Linked DNA regions of Oryzias latipes. Each later gene encodes a partner of the first gene's protein in a complex. Links are inferred from orthologs where the notes say so. Each region holds a gene or a part of one and is shown on either strand. Other genes may lie near its edges.

Region 1 (3,657 bases):
GGTCGACATTCGCAAATCTAGTTAGCATCAAAGAATACTGTTTTTTTTCCCAAAAACCTTTGGGAAATTTCTAGGACATTGGCAAATGCAAAACGCACTATATAGTGAGTAGTAAAGGAATTTCGGACACTACCCATATTTTTCTGAGGATTGCATGAGACACTGGCCTACACAGCGACCCAGACTTCACACTGAACGACCCAAGTGGGTTTTCCTGAGGTTTCTGTCTAAACCACAGACTTGCTGAAGGCACCACATGCTACAACCAAAACATTTCCAAGAACCTGAAGGTCCTCCAAGCATTGGTAAAGCTGGCGGTTGGCCAAGTTGAGCTTCCTCTGAGTCTCATCGGCCTCATCTCTGGATGGTAGCAGAACTCTCTGGTCCAGCTCTCTACGATAGAAATCCACATCCTGCTGCAGTTGCTCGTTCTGTTGTGGCACAGGAAGGAGGGAATTGATTTCAGGAAAAAGAGAGGAATGTCCTACAATTATAAACTAATGCTAAATAGCTATCTTTTCCACATTTCACTATTTGGATAGCGTTGTCTTTTGGACAGCCTGTACATGTCATGGTACACCTTCAACCTCATGGATTGCAGGACTGCCAACTTATTTATGCTAATGGAAAGGTAGTGTCAAAGCAAATACTGGAAGATTAAACACTAGCAAACTCATGCTAACCAAAACATTGTTTTACAACACATCACTCCCTAGAAGTCTTACCTTTTTCTTATGTTTTTTCAACTATACCGTGAAGCAGAAACCCAGAAGACAGGATGAGCAAAGACGGAGGATTTGAGTGAAGGTTTTAGGTGAAGTCATGACAAAGTATGAAGGGGATAAATCGTTATCTGAGCAATGTATTTCTGCTTCTGACATACCTCTCTCTTCAGCTTCTTCACCTCGTCTTCAGCTTCCTCTAATCTCTTCGTCAACTACGAAACCAAAAGCAAGGTTTAATACCAAATCCTTCATTTGCATTTATAGTTCAAATATTTGTCAATTTCTACACAATAAAATCTTTTCTGCAAGTTTAAATAAAGCTAAAAATATTTACCCATTAATAGAATATCAATTGGAAAAGTCGTATCAACAATTTCTTTTGGAGAAAGGCCAAAACAACATTTATAAGCTGATCATTTCAAAATGTGACTATCATTGGATTCAGAAAAGGTCACTGCCACATGTCAGGATAGAAGAATGTATTTAAAGGGTTCACCAGTGTAAAGTCCCATTTTAAACATTACAGAGGATCTTTAAAAGCTCAACTCTTCAGCCTGACTTCTATACGGAGCATTTGCACAATGGGTGGCACACGCTTACCTCTTGATTGGTTTTCTTTTCCTTTCCCATGCCTTTGTTTAACTGGGTCAAGTCCTTCTCTCGTTCCTCCAGCTGGGCCTCGAGCAGCCGAATCTCCTCTCTAAGAAAGCGAGCATCTGGCCCAGTGCCGAGCTGCTTTGCCATGTGGACCGGAAACAAGACAAACACAATCCCAAACAACTCCCACTGGGAAATCTTTTAGTCTTTCATCACCTCCATCTGTTTACAGGCCTAACATACAAGCTTGCCAACATTCTTGTTCCCTTTAACAGAGATTGACAATTATGTTTTAACATTTGGAGGATGACTGTGCATGCCATAGTCATTTAAAACAATCTAAACCAAAACACCAATCAAGTTAAAACAAGAAATGAATGTGCTGTGCGTGCATGGAATTAAATGTAATCTTCTTAGGTGCTGTGTCTCTGTGGTCACTACAGCCAATCCTGTGGTGGCCAGGGTTGCACTCTGTGATTGGCTCAAAGAATTGGCTCTGCTGCCAGAAGTAAATAGGCATGAAAAGTGATTTCACGTCACATGCATGAATGACGTGTTTTTATTTCTTTTATTTTGCCTTATTAAATTTGCAACAGTGGCTGCAGTCATGCTTGCAATTACAAAAAGAACATTTTAGTAGTTCTTGGAAGAACACAGAGCACTCTGCAGCAATGCACACATGAAGTGCAGAGGAACTAATGGACCAAACTAAACCTCAAAAGCCTTACTTACCTTTAGATCTTGTTCCAGCCTGGATATCTTTGCGAGGAATTCCTTCTCTAAGGGATACAGAAATTAAAAGCTGTGTTGTTTGTGTTTTTTAAGCTAAAAAGAAAGCAAGGTAGGTGAAACCGTGCACTGACCAGTTTTGGCATGTTGCATGCCGATCTCATTTATGAAACTATCACTGAGAGCAACTTCCCGATCTTTCCTCTAAAGGGAAAAGAGAGTTGACTTAAAAATGACAGGCACGTATCAATAATGGAGTCAGCATGTGTCCAAACAAACATCTGCATCAAGACTGTGTCTTGCACATAGAATCTTCTGTCTTCATAGAAGACATGCTGGTGGGGCAGTTAACAGATGCTCAATGTAGAGATCAAAGTGTAGAAATAATAAAACCTGACACCTTCAAGAGGGCCTGACACACCCTGAGGATGTGAATAATGTCCTCTGGAGCTTTATCCTTCACCTCCCATTCTTCTGTCTGTGTGGAGAAAAAATGGTTCAAATGGCAGAACTGCCAACAGCAGAGTCATTTTACATCATAATAAAACAAAAGTCCAAACTTAAACAGCGAGAGGTCAAACCAAGAGTGTCTGTTTATTTACAGCCTATAGGATTATTGCTACATACACACATTTTTCCCCAACTCATAGCAGTTTAAAGACACTGTTTATATTTTAAAGCTGAATCAGCAGCAGTGGGCTGCTATGTGAGATCTCCAGTGAGAGCAGGCAGAATCAAAGCTGCTGAGTGGGTACATTCTGCTGACTTAGCCAAACAGCTAAAGGTTGTCTTCATCCATCTATCCCACTCATCCGGGACCAGGTCGCAGGGGCAGAAGCCTTAGCAAAGGTACCCAGACTTCCCTCTCACAGGTCACTTCCTCCAGTTCCTCTGGGGGGATTCCAAGGTGTTCCCAGACCAGTCTCTTCAGCCTGTCCTGGGTCTTCCCTGGGGTCTCTGCCCAGTGGGACCTTCCCAGGGAAGTGTCCAGGAGGCATCCAGACCAGATGCCTGAGCCACCTCAACTGGCTCCTCTGGATGTGGGGGAGCCGCAGTTCTACTCCCAGCTCTCTCTGGGTGACATGCAGCCACCATGCAGAGGAAGATCCTTTCAGGCGGTTGCATTAAGGGCCTTGTTTTTTCGTTCATGACCCAGAGTTCATGGCCATAGGTGAGTATTGGAACAAAGATTGATCGATAACAAGAGAGATTCGCTTTTCAACTCAATAAAAAACCGACCATTGACTGAATAAGAGAACTGGGCAGAGTCAGTGTGACGTCACCCTTAGAAAATGGTTTAATTCCGGCTCCAACCTAATGCATTTAATTAAGTTACCATTTTTCACAATACGGTTCCACCAAGTCGGAGTCAGACGACGTCTGCAAGCAGTAGATTGAATGGTCCGAGTCAATCTGAGTCAATGTCTCTATGGCAACCACTCTCACCAATTAGGAGTACCGGTAAGCTTGTTAGAAGTCCATTCCCCTTTCACTAAAAGTGGGCTCGGGAAAGTCTGTCGATCATACATTTCCAACATTCGAGGTAGGGGCCAGTGGGCACCACATGCTTTTATTGAGGCATCTGATTGGTCTGTTTATTATGAAA
Region 2 (3,657 bases), about 25 Mb from region 1:
GTTTGGAGGTTTTAAATTCCCTCTAGCCAACAAACTGTAGGGTTTAGTAAACACAAAAAGGATATGTGATGACCTCCACAGGGTACCGAATTTCAACATTCAGCTCAAAGGGAGAACCAGCAGCTGGGCCCACAGTCCAGACCGGCATTGGACACGACAGTACTGTTGTTACTAAAGCAGAAAGAAAGAAAAATAAAATCCCCATTTCTTCCTTGTCTTTACCTGCTCCATCCTGTTCAGTGTTGTGGTTCAGCCGAAGAACTCATGTCACACGTGAGGCAAACTCATGATCACCAAGAACACGCAAAGGAAGAACATGCAAACACCATGTGGGCAAATCGGGTGACATGTAAACCTTCTTGCAAATAGACAGAATCCCAGCATGCCTGAGAAAGTAGAACTATTCTACTGAAACAGCTCTCCTAAAGGTCTCACAGCGGCTCATTCTGCCCACTTCACTGTTGTAGTGCTTCTGGACCTGAAATCTGCATTTGATACTGGATATCATTCCATCATCATTGCTTGCCTTCATGATGGTCTTTCTGGTTTTTTTTAAATGGCTTGCCTCCTACCTTTTAATGTCGTTGTAGGTTCATTAACCTCTGAGATGGGAATTATATCTTATGGCATTCCCCAGGGTTCTGTCCTAGGTCCTATTATATTCATTTTAAATATGATTCCTCTTGGGAAACTAATTAGCAAACTTAGCCACCTTTCTTATTATTTTTGTATGAACGACATCCAGCTATATTGCTCCTTCCCTGAAAAAAAGGACGACAGTTTGTCTAACTTCTTTGCTTGTTTAACTAGCATTAAATCGTGGATGGTCAGTAACTCATTTATACTGGAATGGTCAGAAGACAGATGAGCAAATGTTTGTCCCTGAAAACAAAATCTGTCCGATCAAACAACTCATGGACTCTCTGAGCTCCTCTGTTAAGTCTCAGAGACCTCGGGGTGACGTTTCACAAATTCATGTTTCTGGAACATAACAAACCGCCAAAATTTGTTTCTATCATTGACCGTATAAAGGGAACTGGACAGAGCGGGTGTGACATCACCAATAGAAAATGCCTTACTTCCAGCTCCAATTAAATGAAGCCAATTCGGTCTCCATTTTAAACCTAGTCGCCATGTTGGAGCCAAACGACAGTGACCGGTCCGAGTTGGTCTCAGTCTCGTTTCTGGGGCAACTACTGTCATCAGTCAGGAGCAAGCTTGTTCGAAGTCCACACCCCTTCCGCTGATAGCGGGCTGGGGAGAATCTGTCAATTAAACATTGAGGTGGGGGCCGCGGGCACCACATTCTTTCCATTGAGGCATCTGATTGGCCAGTTTATTACTTGAGTAACTTGCGATAAAGAAAAAATATGAAAAAAATTAGGATTATCTAGAAGAGGTTAAAAAAGGTATCAGAGTAAGAATGGTTGTCCTGACCAATAGAATGACTGAGTAACCGCTGTTTATTTCTCTATAGAAGTCTGTGGGATTTTGGCTAATTGGTACCAGCGGCTACTTCCTGTTTGGAACACGGTGTGTGTGTGCTAAGTTCAGTTCTCTTATACAGTCAAAGGCTTCTATCACCTGAGAAATGCGGCACAGAATGAAAAACCTTTTTATCCTGACTTTAGACTAACTACTTGTTTTATTAAAAGCCCTGTAACCCTTTTGCTATCCTATGCACTTTAACATTGGGAGTTGGGTCATCTAGACCCACTAGACAGTGCTCTGAACCTTTTTTCTTTAATGATTTGTGATCTTCACTGGTGTCCATGGATTACATGAAATCTTTCCACTTTTATCCACCTTTGTCAATGTAAGGGTGGGGTCATCTAAGATAGCACAAGGGTTAAAATGTGTTCACCTCATTAAAAATTCTGCGGCGAGGCTTTTTACAGGTGCCAATAAACGAGCTCACAGAACTCCTCTACTGTCCTCTTCACAGTTAAACGTAGAATTCATATTAAAGTTTTACTTTGAGTTTTTGCAGCCTTGCACAGAAAAACAACTGCATACTGTAGATAAATTGTTTTTTTTACTGCGACTAAATCTTTATTTGAGTCTGTCCTATGAATGAGATGATTGCTCCTATTTCCCCTATGATTTTATGTTCTCTTTTACTATTGTGAAGCACTTTACTTACACTCTTGCCCATGACTCAAACCCAACCCATCTTCAGTCAACTTACAGTTTCTGGCTTGGTAGCTCCTGACTATGTTCTCAAGGTCGTACGCACTGGCAAAGGGGCTGGAGCCATCTATCACCGACACCTAAACGTCAAAGAAGAAAAATAAATAAAAACAACTGAGCAGATGCAGATCGGATTTCCATGTCTAGATGATGGAGAACGCAAAAAAAATACAGAAGAAGTGAAATGGTGGGAGACGTGTTTTCTTTTCAAAATCGCACTTTGTCAGTTTCCTCTCACATTATAGATATTGTAGAGCCCTCTGTGGGGCAGGGGGGTCCTCTGCTGCAGCCTCAGGTCCCCGCTAATAAAGAGTTTGGCTCCAGGGACAGGAGAGGCGAGCTGCACGAAAGCCAGACTCTGCATCACGACTGTGGACATTCGCTGAAAAAGAAAAGCACATCACTGAGATGTTCTTTAGCTGGAACATTTACAAGCCAGTACAAACTACCGAATGCCTCCCAGGAACACAATTGCATTTACCTGGGGGTAAATGCATTCTTGTAATTTTAAGTTGTCATGGCAGCTACTCATAAATACTGTAGAGGGTTATTTAAATTGCTCCCAGCTTTGATCTGTTTCCTCCAAACCTCACACCCCCAACCTTTCTCTATAATCACCCTGACCTGAGAGATTCCAAAGAAAAATTCTGGTGTACGGCAATCATCCTTTAACCTTCTTCAATAACTACAAATATTTATAAAGTAAATACTTTATAAATATTAAAACATAGTGTCAAAACCAGACCTGGAGATACTTATTCATGCATTTGTCTCCAGTAGGTTAGACTACTGTAACGGCCTGCTCACCGGCCTCTCCAAACGAGCTGTAAAACAGCTTCAGTACATCCAGAATGCTGCTGCTCGAGTCCTGACCAGAACCAGGAAGTATGATCACATTAGTCCTGTGCTCAGGTCTCTGCACTGGCTCCCTGTACCAAAAAGAACAGACTTCAAAGCAGCTCTGCTTGTGTACAAGTCTCTCCATGGCCGAGCACCAAAGTACATCTCTGACATGTTAGTGCCATATGAACCATCTCGTACTCTGAGGACCTCAGGGGCCGGCCTCCTGTTGATTCCCAGAGTCAGAACTAAACAAGGGGAATCAGCGTTTCAATATTCTGCAGCTAAAATCTGGAACAGCCTCCCTGAAGTCGTAAGACAGGCCTCTTCTGTGTTCATGTTCAAATCTAGACTTAAAACATTTCTGTTTAGCCGTGTATATGACTGAAAGGTCCTATCTGCACTTTTCTTTCCTTTCCTTCCTTTATTTTTAAATCATTTTTCAAATTTTTTCTTTTCTTTTAAAGTAAATTTTACGTTGATTATTTCAATGATGTATTGTGATTTTAATGCATTTTTCTGTTTTGTGAAGCACCTTGAATTACTTTGTGTACGAATTGTGCTATACAAATAAACTTGCCTTGCCTTGCCTACTTGGCAGACAATCAGAAGGAAAGGTGCGATTGG

The links.
Region 2: cep290 (region 1) and tmem231 share a complex: the UniProt entries of both Homo sapiens proteins name them as parts of the tectonic-like complex. The link is inferred for Oryzias latipes from reciprocal best matches to the Homo sapiens genes CEP290 and TMEM231.

The regions. Positions count from the first base shown.
Region 1 is NC_019864.2:2,329,200-2,332,856, forward strand, and holds part of cep290 (centrosomal protein of 290 kDa), read right to left. Parts: intron 2,530-3,657; coding exon 2,452-2,529; intron 2,256-2,451; coding exon 2,186-2,255; intron 2,102-2,185; coding exon 2,055-2,101; intron 1,458-2,054; coding exon 1,326-1,457; intron 938-1,325; coding exon 884-937; intron 747-883; coding exon 726-746; intron 432-725; coding exon 285-431; intron 1-284. UniProt on the Homo sapiens protein: Involved in early and late steps in cilia formation. Its association with CCP110 is required for inhibition of primary cilia formation by CCP110.
Region 2 is NC_019864.2:27,564,935-27,568,591, reverse strand, and holds part of tmem231 (transmembrane protein 231), read right to left. Parts: intron 2,573-3,657; coding exon 2,429-2,572; intron 2,271-2,428; coding exon 2,189-2,270; intron 172-2,188; coding exon 66-171; intron 1-65. UniProt on the Homo sapiens protein: Transmembrane component of the tectonic-like complex, a complex localized at the transition zone of primary cilia and acting as a barrier that prevents diffusion of transmembrane proteins between the cilia and plasma membranes.